Linked DNA regions of Stegostoma tigrinum. The protein of the gene in region 1 binds, or shares a complex with, the protein of each later gene. Links are inferred from orthologs where the notes say so. Each region holds a gene or a part of one and is shown in the gene's direction. Other genes may lie near its edges.

Region 1 (7,232 bases):
AAGGAAACAATCACAGACCCGAATATTAGGTTGTCAGAAAAGAAACACTGTGCACGAATACATTTTTGATTTACACACTCAGCATAAGAGACGTCTGTCTAGAAGTACAAAGTCAGAACATGACACCTATCATCGCACAGTTGATATCATCATATGCATTGGAGTGGCCTAAATTTATCATTGTTGCTACGGTACATTTATTTAAAAGGCAGCAATTATTAAAATACATTCTACAGTACAGCAGTGTTTTCTAGTGAAAGCCATTGTTATAACAGAAATAGAGGACCTTCTAGCAAGAAAAATAAAAGTTGTGGAAGGTTTTATTTCAAACCTTATCTTTGAGATTTTTTTTATTGCTTCCTCCTGATGCTGGTCAATTGTGTCAGAGACATTTCCAATAAAATAATGAAAGTACAGTGATTGTAGATTTCTAGTTTAAAGGTTATTTTCTTTCTCTTTTCTTCTGCTTCCTAAGATAATACGTAATGGTTCCATGACTATTGAAAGTCCTTCGCTTCTACATCTGATGGAATACTAATTTCAGGCATTTTGAGATTTTGTGTTAACAGCAAACAACATGCCTGCTGACAGGGCAGGCTCAGAAAACAATCATTATGTGAACAGAGTGCAGGTACTGAGATAACGAATAATCATGCCATAATCAATGCTTGGTTGTACAACCTGAGCCTGGATTTTTGCCAAACTGGACTGATTTGAGAGCTATGTAAATATGGTCGGCAGGATATGATTCTGAGCTTCCTATTTCCATTTCCAGCTGTTTTCATCAACGTGGGACAAGGATGCAGTAGCAATCCTCTGTGTAGAAACACCTCCCCTGATGGCTTCATTGGGTGCCGTTCAACTCCCCAAACACAACTTCGATGAAGTTGGACCCCTCTGGCATATAGACATGGTTCACAACCCTTCAGAGAAATTGTGAACCAGTGGGAACAACAGATTCAAGTAATCAAAACAGAAAAAAAGGGCATTCAATATTTATGTTGAACTATATTGGCCTCTTAACATCTCATATAGCTATAATCAGTCACAGTCCTATCTAGTTTCAAAGTCAGATATTTTTATTTACCCACACCTTTTAATCCTGCATATAAATAATCCTGAATTTAAAAAAAAAGCAGTCGAAATACTCTTCAAAGTCACAGCAGACCCTTAGAAGGTAACAGAAATATCAATCAAGCAACAAATTCCCTTACCTCTGCAGTTGTATAATGCCCTAGGTGCATTAGCCATTGTTAGAACTCAGCCAACTATTCATAATGACATCACCTGCTATATCTCTTTTGTTCATACACTTGTTTATACAGCAGCACACACTATGTTGACTGACATCAGCATCTGCAGTTTTTGGTATCTTCTCATTAGTAAACAGAACTGTTGTTTTGACAAGGGACCATGACTTGTCATTTCACTGTGATCCTGTCTTTCTCACATTGTAACAAGGTTCCCATATGACAATTTTCCTGTAATAATTAGTTACTTCAGTAATCCCTTCACTTGGAATATCTGTATCATATTTGTTCCTTTAATTATAATGTTATTCCATTTTAAAGTTACATTTTTATTATTGTCTCTGACTGCACCTTTCCTTCATTTATTATTGTAAAGTCCCTTTCTCACACTAATTCTCTTTTCTGTTCAGAACAATTCTCAGTGGTACATTACTGCTGTCTCTGTAATGCTGCCAGAACCCTGCAAAATTCCACGCCACCTCACACCACCCTTTTAGGTTATTTTACATTTAATTAGAAAATAAGGGTCACTGTCACTGACTCGGCCAGCATTTACTGTCCATTTCTAACTATTTGGTAACATGCAGGTGGTGCTGTTTCTGTGTATCTGCTGCTCTCAACCTTCTAGATGGTAGTGGTCATGCATTTGCAAAGTGTAATGTGAGGATACTTGATGAGTTGTTATAGTTGCATTGCATCTGTCAATGACACAAACTGCTGCCACCAGTTTCTGGTCAAATGGTAACTCCCACAATGTTGATCATGTGCAATTCAGCAATGGCAATGCCATTGAAGGTCAAAGGTTATGGTTGAATTTTCTCTTGTTAGAAATGGTCATTGGGGCTGTGATGATTGACTGCCAATCACCGCAACTACTTCGCTTTCTGCACCCTTAGTCACATGATTATCTTCCAGCTCTTTCTTGCCCTCTGACAGCTAGTAAATGGCTTGTGTAATATTCCTGAGATCATCACAGTTGAGCCATTGACTTCTAGGTTATCTCCTAACTCCTAATATTCCATCAAGAGAAATTACTCCATTTCTTCCCTGTTATCATTAGATCTGATCATTTCCAGCCACACTGAGATTTCTCCTGCTGAGGTTCTCAATCGTAACCACTGAAGATGCCAACCATCTTTCTAACGAGTGAGTCCTCTAGAAGTACATTTTTCCTATTCTGGTCCTCCTACCTTGCCTCCCTCAAACTGCATCTTGAACACCTTGCTGCTCCATGGTGCCGAAGTCAGCACTGTGACTTCTTTCCCCAAGTCTTTTTGCTTACCCTAACAAATATCAAGTACATTGTACCTGTTGGACAGAACAGTGTCTGCAGGATCTCCTCCTCTATCTCCCCCTAGTTGACCTTACTCTGCTAGCGGTTTTCAATAAGCAATAATCGCACCTTGGTTAAACCCCATTGGCCACAATACTGCCACTGTGCGTAGTGAGATGCTCAAAAACAACAAAAGGAATGCTGGAAGTCTGATACATACACCAAAACTGCTGGAGAAACATCTTCCTGAAGAAGGGTCACTGGACCTAAAATGTTAACTTTGCTTTTTATCTACAGATGCTGCTAGGTCTGCTGAGTTTCTGCAGCAATTTCTACATTTGTAACAGTCTGACTCTCACCTTCTTTTGCACATCAAAGTTGTGATTGTATTCCAGGCAAAAACTAACCAGAAATTCCTACCATCTTATGTATTGAAATATCTTGAAATCAAAGGATTTTGAGTTGTGCATCAAAACAGTGGTGTTTACTGCAAATCTGGCTTTCCGGATCAGTCTCAATATCTACAAACTCTCACATAATGGTTCCAGGGCAGACTGTACTGCACTGTAATTTCCAAGGGGAAGGGAGGGTATTGCTGTAATTTAACTCTTAAGTGAAATCAAATTATTTGTTCACATTACAGTTTGTAGACAGATTTGGCATAATTTCAGGATAATTTGTGACTAATGTGCAAGATATTACATAAAAGCGTGTAATTTCAATTGAGAAATTTTAGGGGGATGATATCACTTCTTAGTGCATGTACATTCAAGTGAGTGTCATAACAGCTTTGTGTTTTAATTAACAATAAAAGAGCTACAACAATAATAGGAACAAAAGAACTGAGCATGCTCTGAAGATCTGAAATAAAAACAAAGGAAAGACCCCATTGGTCCAGCAGCATCTGTGGAAATATGAAACAGGGCTAATGTTTGAATACAATATGACTCTTTAACGTTGCCCAATACTTTTATCAAGATCATGGCTTTCAAAAAGTAACTGAATCTCACGATTACGGCGTAGGAGGAAGGTGATCATTTGGCTCATCGTGTCTGCACCTGTTCTCTGAATGAGTGTTACGACAATGTGCCATCCTCCTCCATGTTAATTCCCCATACCCTTGAATATTCCAGTTAACTAACCATCAGTTGTAGGCAGAGCTTTAGGACCATGGAGCAACCTCACAATGATGTCACGGAGTTGCTTCCTACAACGGTATAAACAGCACAGTACGGGTGGAATTTAAGATAGGAGTAGATAGGCGGGAAAAAAAACATAAGAACTAGGAGCAGGCAACCCAGCGCCTTGAGCCTGCTTTGCTATTTGATATGATCATGGCTGATCATAGAAGATCATTAGAGTTTAACGAACAGTTGCTTAACAAAAAGGTGAGAACCTGGTATATCTTTCCGGAAATGGTTGTGCATGGTATTATCAAAGGATGAAGGCTCGTAAAGAGTTAACTTTGCTTCCCTCCACCTGCCTATCTACGAACTGCAATCTCAGGTGTGCCCTTAAAATCATAGGTCGGGATATCGTTTTTGAATAAGGCTACCTTCAGAAACCAATTACGATTCACTTGCTTTCTACTTCTGAGAAGGAACGGGAACTCTTACCTGAACATAATAACTTGCTGTCCCCTCCATCCGAGAGATGGTAAAACTGCACATGCGTCTTTCCTTAGCAGTCGCCGGCTATGCTCACGTGACGCTGGCCGTTGCTTGCGCGCGGGACAAAAGGCTGGGGGGGAGCTCGAGCTGCTCCTGCTGATGGTTTGTGGTGGGGGGTGGGGCGCAGAACATCACGTCTCCCTTTACCTGCTTCCATGGCGTCTCGTCGCTGCCCCGGAGTGGCAGGTTCCTCTTCCTCCAGCTCGGGGGAGCATCGATCGACTTCGATATCAGCTCATCCTGACCCGACCAGAGTGCTGTTCGAGAGTTGCAGGAACGGGGATGTGGTCCGGGTGAGGAGACTGCTAAGGGCTGACAATGTGAACGCCAGGGACACGGCAGGGCGCAAGTCGACCCCTTTGCATTTTGCTGCGGGTAAGTTAAAACCGTGCTCTGCACCCCTCCCTCCGCAGCACGGTATGGCGGCCTCGGTCGAGGCCCGTATTCATTTGCTGAAACGTGAAGTTGCTATTTTCTTTTATTTTCCGTTTGCTTTCTTTTTTGCACGTCGATCAGATATTGTCTGTTTGTGTGGATTCGCCCCAAGTCCGCAAGTGAACTTGGTGCAGAAGTTTCAAAATGTAATTTTTTGTGGATGTTGATTTGCGACTGTTCATCATTCCGCCATTCATACCACTTGCAAAATTTTTGTTTTTTGCTTCATTACCACTCTATTAAGCCAGTCATACTGCAGGTAGGGGATGATTGACCACCAGACAGTCCCAAGACAACTAGACAGGTAATACAGCAGTCCCAAGATCCCACACAAGAACCTGCTTTCTATTCCGGATACAATATCAAAAATACATAACCAGAAAGGGCTGCAATCCCTTGGTGTTCCGAGATAATAAAATGTGAGGCTGGATGAACACAGCAGGCCAAGCAGCATCTCAGGAGCACAAAAGCTGACGTTTCGGGCCTAGACCCTTCATCAGAGAGGGGGCTGGGGAGAGGGAACTGGAATAAATAGGGAGAGAGGGGGAGGCGGACCGAAGATGGAGAGTAAAGAAGATAGGTGGAGAGAGTATAGGTGGGGAGGTAGGGAGGGGATAGGTCAGTCCAGGGAAGACGGACAGGTCAAGGAGGTGGGATGAGGTTAGTAGGTAGATGGGGGTGTGGCTTGGGGTGGGAGGAAGGGATGGGTGAGAGGAAGAACCGGTTGGGGAGGCAGAGACAGGTTGGACTGGTTTTGGGATGCAGTGGGTGGGCGGACAGAGCTGGGCTGGCTGTGTGGTGCAGTGGGGGGAGGGGACGAACTGGGCTGGTTTAGGGATGCAGTAGGGGAAGGGGAGATTTTGAAACTGGTGAAGTCCACATTGATACCATATGGCTGCAGGGTTCCCAGGCGGAATATGAGTTGCTGTTCCTGCAACCGTCGGGTGGCATCATTGTGGCAGTGCAGGAGGCCCATGATGGACATGTCATCTAGAGAATGGGAGGGGGAGTGGAAATGGTTTGCGACTGGGAGGTGCAGTTGTTTGTTGCGAACTGAGCGGAGGTGTTCTGCAAAGCGGTCCCCAAGCCTCCGCTTGGTTTCCCCAATGTAGAGGAAGCTGCACCGGGTACAGTGGATGCAGTATACCACATTGGCAGATGTGCAGGTGAACCTCTGCTTAATGTGGAATGTCATCTTGGAGCCTGGGATAGGGGTGAGGGAGGAGGTGTGGGGGCAAGTGTAGCATTTCCTGCGGTTGCAGGGGAAGGTGCCGGGTGTGGTGGGGTTGGAGGGCAGTGTGGAGCGAACAAGGGAGTCACGGAGAGAGTGGTCTCTCCGGAAAGCAGACAGGGGTGGGGATGGAAAAATGTCTATGGTGGTGGGGTCGGATTGTAAATGGCGGAAGTGTCGGAGGATGATGCGTTGTATCTGGAGGTTGGTAGGGTGGTTTGTGAGAACGAGGGGGATCCTCTTAGGGCGGTTGTGGCGGGGGCGGGGTGTGAGGGATGTGTTGCGGGAAATACGGGAGACGCGGTCAAGGGCGTTCTCGATCACTGTGGGGGGAAAGTTGCGGTCCTTAAAGAACTTGGACATCTGGGATGTGCGGGAGTGGAATGTCTTATTGTGGGAGCAGATGCGGCGGAGGCGGAGGAATTGGGAATAGGGGATGGAATTTTTGCAGTAGGGTGGGTGGGAGGAGGTGTATTCTAGGTAGCTGTGGGAGTCGGTGGGCTTGAAATGGACATCAGTTACAAGCTGGTTGCCTGAGATGGAGACTGAGATATCCAGGAAGGTGAGGGATGTGCTAGAGATGGCCCAGGTGAACTGAAGGTTGGGGTGGAAGGTGTTGGTGAAGTGGATGAACTGTTCGAGCTCCTCTGGGGAGCAAGAGGCGGCACCGATACAGTCATCAATGTACCGGAGGAAGAGGTGGGGTTTGGGGCCTGTGTAGGCACGGAAGAGGGACTGTTCCACGTAACCTACAAAGAGGCAGGCATAGCTGGGGCCCATGCGGGTGCCCATGACCACCCCCTTAGTCTGTAGGAAGTGGGAGGAGTCAAAAGAGAAGTTGTTGAGTGTGAGGACAAGTTCAGCTAGGCGGATGAGAGTGTCGGTGGAGGGGGACTGGTCGGGCCTGTGGGACAGGAAGAAGCGGAGGGCCTTGAGGCCATCTCCATGCGGAATGCAGGTGTACAGGGACTGGACGTCCATGGTGAATATGAGGTGTTCGGGGCCAGGGAATTGGAAGTCCTGGAGGAGGTGGAGGGCGTGGGTGGTGTCACGGACGTAGGTGGGGAGTTCCTGGACCAAAGGGGAGAAAATGGAGTCCAGAAAGGTGGAGATGAGTTCGGTGGGGCAGGAGCAGGCTGAGACGATGGGTCGACCAGGGCAGGCAGGTTTGTGGATTTTGGGAAGGAGATAGAAACGGGCCGTGCCGGGTTGGGGAACAATGAGGTTGGAGGCTGTGGGTGGGAGGTCCCCTGAGGTGATGAGGTCGTGAATGGTGTTGGAGATGATGGTTTGGTGCTCGGGTGTGGGGTCATGATCGAGGGGGCGGTAGGAAGTGGTGTCGGAGAGTTGGCGTCTGGCCTCGGCGATGTAGA
Region 2 (7,330 bases), on another chromosome or scaffold:
GATTAAACTCTGTCTGCCATTTCTCCGCCCATATCTGCAACTGATCCATGTCACAGTGTATCCTTTGACAACTTTCTACACTATCCACAAATCCACTGATTTTTGTATCATCTGCACACTTACTAACCAACCCATCTACATTTACACATAAGTCATTTATATTTACCACAAACAGTAGAGGCCCTAGTATGGATCCCTGTGCACTATCACTAGTCACGGGTCTCCAGCCTGAAAACACCCTTCTGTGGGCAAGCCAATTCTGAATCCACATGGCCAAGCCACTGTGGATCCCATGCATCTTAATCTTCTGGATCAAACTGCCATGAGGGACCTCGTCAGAAACCTTACTAAAATCCGTGTAAACAACATCCACTGCTCCATACTCATAGATGACCTTTGTCACCTCTTCCAAAAATTCAATCAAGTTAGTAAGACATGACCTCTCCTGCACAAAGCCTTGCTGACTGTCTCTAATTAGATCATGCTTTTCCAAATGTCTATAAATACTATCCCTAAGAATTCTCTCCAATAGCTTCCCGACCACTGATGTAAGGTTCACTGGTCTACAGCTTCATGAGTCGTCCTTATTTCCGTTCATGAACAAAGGAACAACATTAGCTACTTGCCAGTCCTCTGGGATCTCTTCAGTGGCTAGTGAGGATACAAAGATCTTAGTCAAGGACCGAACAATCTCCTCTTTTACCTCTCTCAGTAACTTGGGGTAGATACCATTGGATCCTGGGAACTTATTCACCTTAATGCTCTTCAAGAGGTCCAACAGCACTTCTTTCTTAATCTCAAAATGCCCCAGCATATTAGCATGCTCCATGCAAATCTCACTATCCTCCATATCCTTTTCCATGGTGAAAACCGGTACAAAGTACTTATTTAGGATATCACCCACATCCTCTGTCTACAAGCAAAAGTTTATCCTTTATCCTTGAAATGTCCTACCTACTCCCTAGTTATCCTTTTGTTTTTAATGTAACTGTAGAATGACTTGGGATTCTCTTTAACCCTACTTGCCAAGGTCATTTCATGGCTTCTTGTTGCTCTCTTAATTCCCAGCTTCAGTGCTTTCCTGATTTCCTTATAATCCTCTCGGGCCCTGTCTGATTTTAGCTTTCTAAACATTACATATGTTTCCTTTTTCTGTTTCGACTAAATTCACAGCTTCCCTCGTGTTCCAAAAGTCCATTACCTTACCATCTTTGTCCTTCCTCTTTACTGGAACATGCTAATGAGCTCTCATCAGCGGCCCTTTAAACAATTCCTATCATGTCCATGCATAAAGTGTCTATTTTTTGTTCCATTTTCCAACACTTGGCCTGTAACTATGTATGCTGTGGCATTTCAAGTGCTCATCTAAATACTTCTAAAATGTCTTGAGTTTTCCTGCGTTTACCACCATTTTTGGCACTGATTTCCAGATACCCACCATCCTCTGAATGAAAGCTGGTTTCTTCAAAGCCCCTCTAAACCTTCTGTCCTTTATGTTAAACCTATGTCCCTTGGGTACTGTTCCCTCTGCTGAGGGGAAAGGATTTTCCCCATGTACTCTCTCTATGCCGCGCAGAACTTCATACTACTCAATCATATGACCCCCTCCCACCCCTGTTCTAAGGAAAACAACCCCAGCCTATCTAGTCTGTCTTCATAGATGAATCGCTCCAACCCAGGCAATATCCTGATGAATCTCCTCTGCACCCTGTCTAATGCAATCACATATTTCCTACAGTGTGGTGACCAGACTTGCACACGGTACTCCAGCTATGGCCTAACTAACATTATGCAGCTCCATTATAACCTCCTTGCTCTTGAATTCAATGCCTTGACTGATCAATTTAGAAATTCCATAATGACTTCTAAACCACATACTTGTCTTGTGATCTTGAAGGATCTATGGACATCCACATTAAGGTCCCTCTGATCTTCTGTACTTCCTAGGTCCTGCAATTTATTATGTATTCCCTTGCCTTGTTAGTCCTTCCAAAATGCATCACCTCACTCTTTTCAACATTAAATTCCATTTGCCAGTGTTCAGCCCATCTGACCACTGTATCTATATCATCCTGTAGGCTAAGACTTTCCACTTCACTACTTAAAGTACCACCAATTTTTGTGTTATCTGCAAACTTACTGATCATAACTCCTCTATTCATGTCTAGATCATTAATGTGTGCTACAAGCAGCAAGGGACCCAGCAACAAAACTTGTGGTATGCCACTATACACAGGCTTCTTGTCTCACAAAAACCCTTCGATCATCATCCTCTGCTTCCTGCCACGAAGCCAATTTTGGATCTAATTCGGCAAATTGTCCAGGATCCCGTGGACTCTATGCTTCTTAATTAGTTTGTCATGCTAGCCCTTGTTGAAAGGCTTACATGTTGACTACCCTATCATTTGCACTACCCTCATTTACACACCTAATCAGCTCCCTGAAAAATTCATTCCAATTTGTGAGAAATGATCTCCTCCTTTCAAACCATGTTGACTATCTTTGATTAATCCTTGCCTTTCTAAATGAAGATTTTGTTTCTGAGAATTTTTTCCAACAGTATCCCTAATACTGATAGTAGACTCACGTTTCCCACTAGCCTGGCTTTGCTCCCTCAGAATAGGTCCAACACTGTCCTATCTCTTATAGGACTTTCTATATGTTGGTGGATGCACACACTCAAGATCAGTGTTTATGCAGATATGCACACTCATGGGTCAATGCAAAAGTCACCATAGCCCTGCTCTCTCATTAAAGAGAAATAACTGGTGGTGGTTTAACCTGAGGGTCGCAATACCTCTGGTAGCAGGAGATCCCTTTATGGTAACCTCAGCCAGTGTGGAAAGTGAACACATACTGTTAGCATCAAAAACCAGCTATCCAGCCAATTGAGTTAACCAATGAACAACAGGACTATGTCTGTAGATGTTCACAAATAGGTCAGCTTGTGTATGCATGGATGTACACACATAGGTCAGTTAGTGTGAATGTAGATGTACACACATGGATCAGTATGTGTGAGTGTGTATATGTAGAAGGATACACACGGGTCTCTGTGTGTGCGTGAGTGCAGGTGTACACACCTGGGTCAGTGTGTGTGTGAGTGTAGATGTACATACATGGGTCAGTATTTGTGTAAGCCTGTGTGCTTGTGTAATGTACACAAAAGGTCAGTGTGCATATGCTTAGATGTACACACGGGTCTGTGTGTGTTTGTGTAGATGTGCACACATAGATGTGTGTGTGTGTTTGTGTGAGTGTAGAGGCACACACTTAGGTCTGTGTGTGTGTGTGCTTGTAGATGTACGCACATGGGTCAGTGTATGTGTGAATGTGTGTGTTTGTGTCGATGTACACATAAAGGTCAGTGTGTGTGTGTGTAAGTGTAGATGTACACACATGGTCAGCATATGTGTGTTTAAATGTACAAATAGGTCAGTGTGCATGTGTTTCTGTAGATGTATACATATAGGACAGTGTATGTGTGGATATATAACAGACGAATCAGTGCATCTGTAATTAGGTGTACGCACATAAATCTGTGTGTGTGGAATACACACGTGTCAGGGTGTATGAGAGTAGATGTACACACATGGTCAGCAAATGTACATACGGGTCAGTATGCGTGTGTTTCTGCAGATGCACACACATAGGTCTGTGTGTGTGCGCGTGTGTGTGTGTATACACGCATGGGTCAGTGTGTCTATGTTTAGATGGACACACATGGGGTCAGTCTATGCGTTCACGCATGTGTAGATGTACACAAATGGGTCAGTGTATGAGTGTATAGATGTACACATGGGTCAGTGGTTGTGTGCTTGTAATGATGGTGTTGGCCTCATTTGACAGCTTCACCAGCATTTTGTTTCCAAACTTTTTGAAATCAGCTCAAATTCACTCCAAAGTGCAAAGCGAGAAGTGATTTGCGGTGCAGAGAGTTGAGGAGTCTTATCCATGATCCTAACTCTAGTTTCTATCACTGACTAGCTGTCAGTCAGTGTGCCCCCGGGTTCTGATGCTGCTCTTTATGTCCAGCGTTTACATGCTGAATGCAAAGGCCAGTGGCAACAGGAGTTTCGTGCCCAGGCTGCTCTCTGTCGGACACCCTACCTTGCCCCCTCGGCCAAACCCCCACCCCCAGGGTTAACTCCGGGGCAGCATTTACTCATTGCACCTGCAGTTTCTAACAGTTGCCCGACAAGGCGTCAGTGAGCTTTTTTTTTGAAAGCATAAAGTCAAACCCGTGCAAAGGAACTGAGTCAGCGGATTCAGTTGAGGAAGTTGAGAGAGAGAGAGAGAGAGACAGAGCAGTGTTGGCTCAGAGACTCAGCGAGTCAGTAGGACTGTTCGCATTCCGGATTTTAACATCGAGCTGCTGCCTTTCTAACTGACCACTCTTATGGAAGCTTTGCTCAGGTACAGTGCCATAGCTAGTGTCTTTCTTTTAATCAAAAAGAGAAGTCAAGACAGGTAGAGTTGAAACTTCAGAACAGAGGGAGAGATGAATTATAAACTCAGAGGCTTGTAGGTTGAGTTCTAACTACGCGTTTGGAAGGTTCGCCTCCAGATGTAGTGAAAATAGCGTTTGTCCCGGACATGAGTGGGACTGTGATCTGTCCCTTGTGCTTATTCAATGAGGTTACAGCCTGTTTACTGAGTGGAGATGAAAAACTAAACAGGGCGACAGAGAGCACAGGAACAGAAAACAAATGTCAATATTTACATTTCATAAATTATTTAAAGAATTTAAGGATTTGATGACCATTCGGCCCAATCCTAGTCTGGAAATTTAATATTAATTTGTTCTATTTTAAAATGAAATCCAGGAAAGGCTAGAAGCGCTGAGTATCCGTGAAGAGAGACTGGGACAAACTCATGGTGCTGTTGAGGACCCCTCACATTTTTTATTCACTCGTAGGATCTGGGTATCTCTGGCTGGGCCTGGAATTTATTGTCCGTCCTTAGTTGCCCATCAGAAGGTGGTTTGCGCTGCAGTCCACATATAGTGGGTTGACCCACAATGGTGTAAGCGAGGGAATTTCAGGATTTTGATCCAATGACAGTGAAGGAACAGGGGATGTATTTTCAAGTCAGGGCGGTGAGTGGCTCGGAGGGGAACTTGCAGGGGTGGTGTTTCCATGTATTTGTTGCTCTTGTCCTTCTAGATGGAAGTGGTCGTAGGTTTGGAAGGTGCTGCCTGAGAATCCTTGGTGAATTTCTGCAGTTCATCTTGTAGATGGTACACACTGCTGTTACTGGTGGAGGGAGTGAATGGTTCTGGGTGTAGTGCCAATCAAGCGGCTGCTTTGTCCTGGATGGTGTCAAGTTTCTTGAGTGTTGTTGGGGCTGCACCAATCCAGGCAAGTGGGGAGTATTCCATCACACTCCTGACTCATGCCTTGTAGATGTGGACAGGCTTTGGACAGTCAGGAGATGAATTAGTCGCCGCAGTATTCCTAGCCTCTGACCTGCTCTCATAGCCACCACATTTATGTGGCAAGTCCAGGTGAGTTTTTGGTCAATGGTAACCCCCAGAATGTTGATAGTGGGGGATTCAGTGATGTTAAAGCCATTGAATGTCAAAGGGCAGTGGTTAGATTGTCCATTATTGGAGATGGTCATAACCTGGCATTTGTGTGACACAATTGTTATTTGCTACTTGTCAGCCCAAGCCTGGAAATTGTCCAGATCCTGTTGCATTTGAATGTGGACTGCATCAGTATCTGAGGAGTTGTAAGTGGTGCTGAAAATAGTGCAATCATCAATGAACACCCCCACTTCTGACCTCATTTAATTTTAATTCACTCAGGGGAATAGGCATCACTGTTTGGGCCAGTGTTTATTGCCCATTCCTAGTTGCTCTTGAGAAGGTGGTAGTGTGCTGTCTTCTTGAACTGCTGAGGTCCACATGCTGAAGGATGACCCAACAATGTCGTTAGGGAGAGGATTCCAGTACTGTGATCCAGCGACAGTGAAGGAGTGGCAATATATTTCCAATTCAGGATGGTGAGTGGCTTGGAGGGGAACTTGCAGGGGGTAGTGTTCCCACCTAACTACTGGCTTTGTTCTTCAAGGTGGAAGTGGTTAGAAGTTTGGAAGGTGCTGTCTAAAGATCTTTATTTTGGAGACTAGGTCATTTATGAAGTAATTGAAGAGGGTTGGGCTGAGGACATGAACGTGAAGAACTCCTACAGAAATGTCCTGGAGCTGAGAAAACTGACCTCCAACGACAATGACCATCTTCCAATGTGCATATGACTCCAACCAGCAAACAGTTTGCCCCCAATGCCCATAGATTCAAGTTTTGTTAGGATTCCCTTATGCCACACTCAGTCATATGCAACCTTGATGCCACTCCTACCTCACCTCTAGAATTGAGCTCTTTTGTCTATGTTTGAACCAAGACTTGTAATTGGCCACATTGGATTTCGAGTCATGGAGATATAAAACACCGAAACAGACCCTTTGGCCCAACTTATCCACGCTGACCAGACATCCGATTCTGACCTAGTCCCATATGCCAGCATTTGGCCCATATCCCTCTAAGACCCTTCCTATTCATATACCCACCCAGATGTCTTTTAAACGCTGTCATTATACCAGCCTCCACCACTTCCTCTGGCAGCACATTCCATACATGCAAAACCCTTTGCGTGAGAAAGTTGCCCCTTAGGTGCCTTTTCTATCTTGCCCTACTTACCTTAAACCTATGCCCTCTAGTTTTTGATTCCCCATCCCAGGGAAAAGACCTTGTCTATTTACCCTATCCATGCCTCTCATGATTTTATGAACCTCTATAAGTGTCAGCCTCTGACAGTTGGGGGAAATAGCCCCAGTCTATCTCTCCCTATAGCTGAAACCCTCCAACCCTGGCAAAATCCTCATAAATCTTTCCTAAACCCTTTCAAGTTTCACAACATTTCTCCTTTGGAAGGGATGTGATAATGGGAATTGCAGATGCTGGAGAATCCAAGATAATAAAATGTGAGGCTGGATGAACACAGCAGTCCCAGCAGCATCTCAGGAGCACAAAAGCTGACGTTCTGGGCCTAGATGAAGGGTCTAGGCCCGAAACATCAGCTTTTGTGCTCCTGAGATGCTGCTGCGCCTGCTGTGTTCATCTAGCCTCACATTGTATTATCCTTTGGAAGGGAGACTGGTTGATGCTCTCAACCATCTCCACCTCAGTTCCACTGATGTAGATAAGAGCTATTTACCCTATCCATGCTCTTCTTTATTTTATAAATATCTTAAGATCACCCTTCAGTCCCTGATGTTTCAGGGAAGAGCCCCTGCCAATTTAGCATCTCTGTGTAGCTCAAACTCTTCA

The links. The genes of interacting proteins can lie anywhere in the genome.
Region 2: the proteins of poly [ADP-ribose] polymerase tankyrase-2-like (region 1) and sh3bp2 are in contact, whole or in part, in a crystal structure (PDB 3TWR), measured with the Homo sapiens proteins. The link is inferred for Stegostoma tigrinum from reciprocal best matches to the Homo sapiens genes TNKS2 and SH3BP2. Residues at the interface, in NP_079511.1 of Homo sapiens: Arg525, Ser527, His531, Phe532, Gly535, Tyr536, Asn537, Arg538, Leu560, Asn565, Ser568, Tyr569, His571, Asp589, Trp591, Phe593, Glu598, Lys604; in NP_001116153.1 of Homo sapiens: Leu413, Gln414, Arg415, Ser416, Pro417, Pro418, Asp419, Gly420, Gln421, Ser422, Arg424.

What each region holds. Positions count from the first base shown.
Region 1 is NC_081373.1:43,619,474-43,626,705, reverse strand, and holds the start of poly [ADP-ribose] polymerase tankyrase-2-like, read left to right. Parts: upstream 1-4,224; 5' UTR 4,225-4,348; coding exon 4,349-4,568; intron 4,569-7,232. UniProt on the Homo sapiens protein: Poly-ADP-ribosyltransferase involved in various processes such as Wnt signaling pathway, telomere length and vesicle trafficking.
Region 2 is NC_081356.1:130,336,109-130,343,438, reverse strand, and holds the start of sh3bp2 (SH3 domain-binding protein 2), read left to right. Parts: upstream 1-4,315; 5' UTR 4,316-4,416; intron 4,417-7,330. UniProt on the Homo sapiens protein: Binds differentially to the SH3 domains of certain proteins of signal transduction pathways. Binds to phosphatidylinositols; linking the hemopoietic tyrosine kinase fes to the cytoplasmic membrane in a phosphorylation dependent mechanism.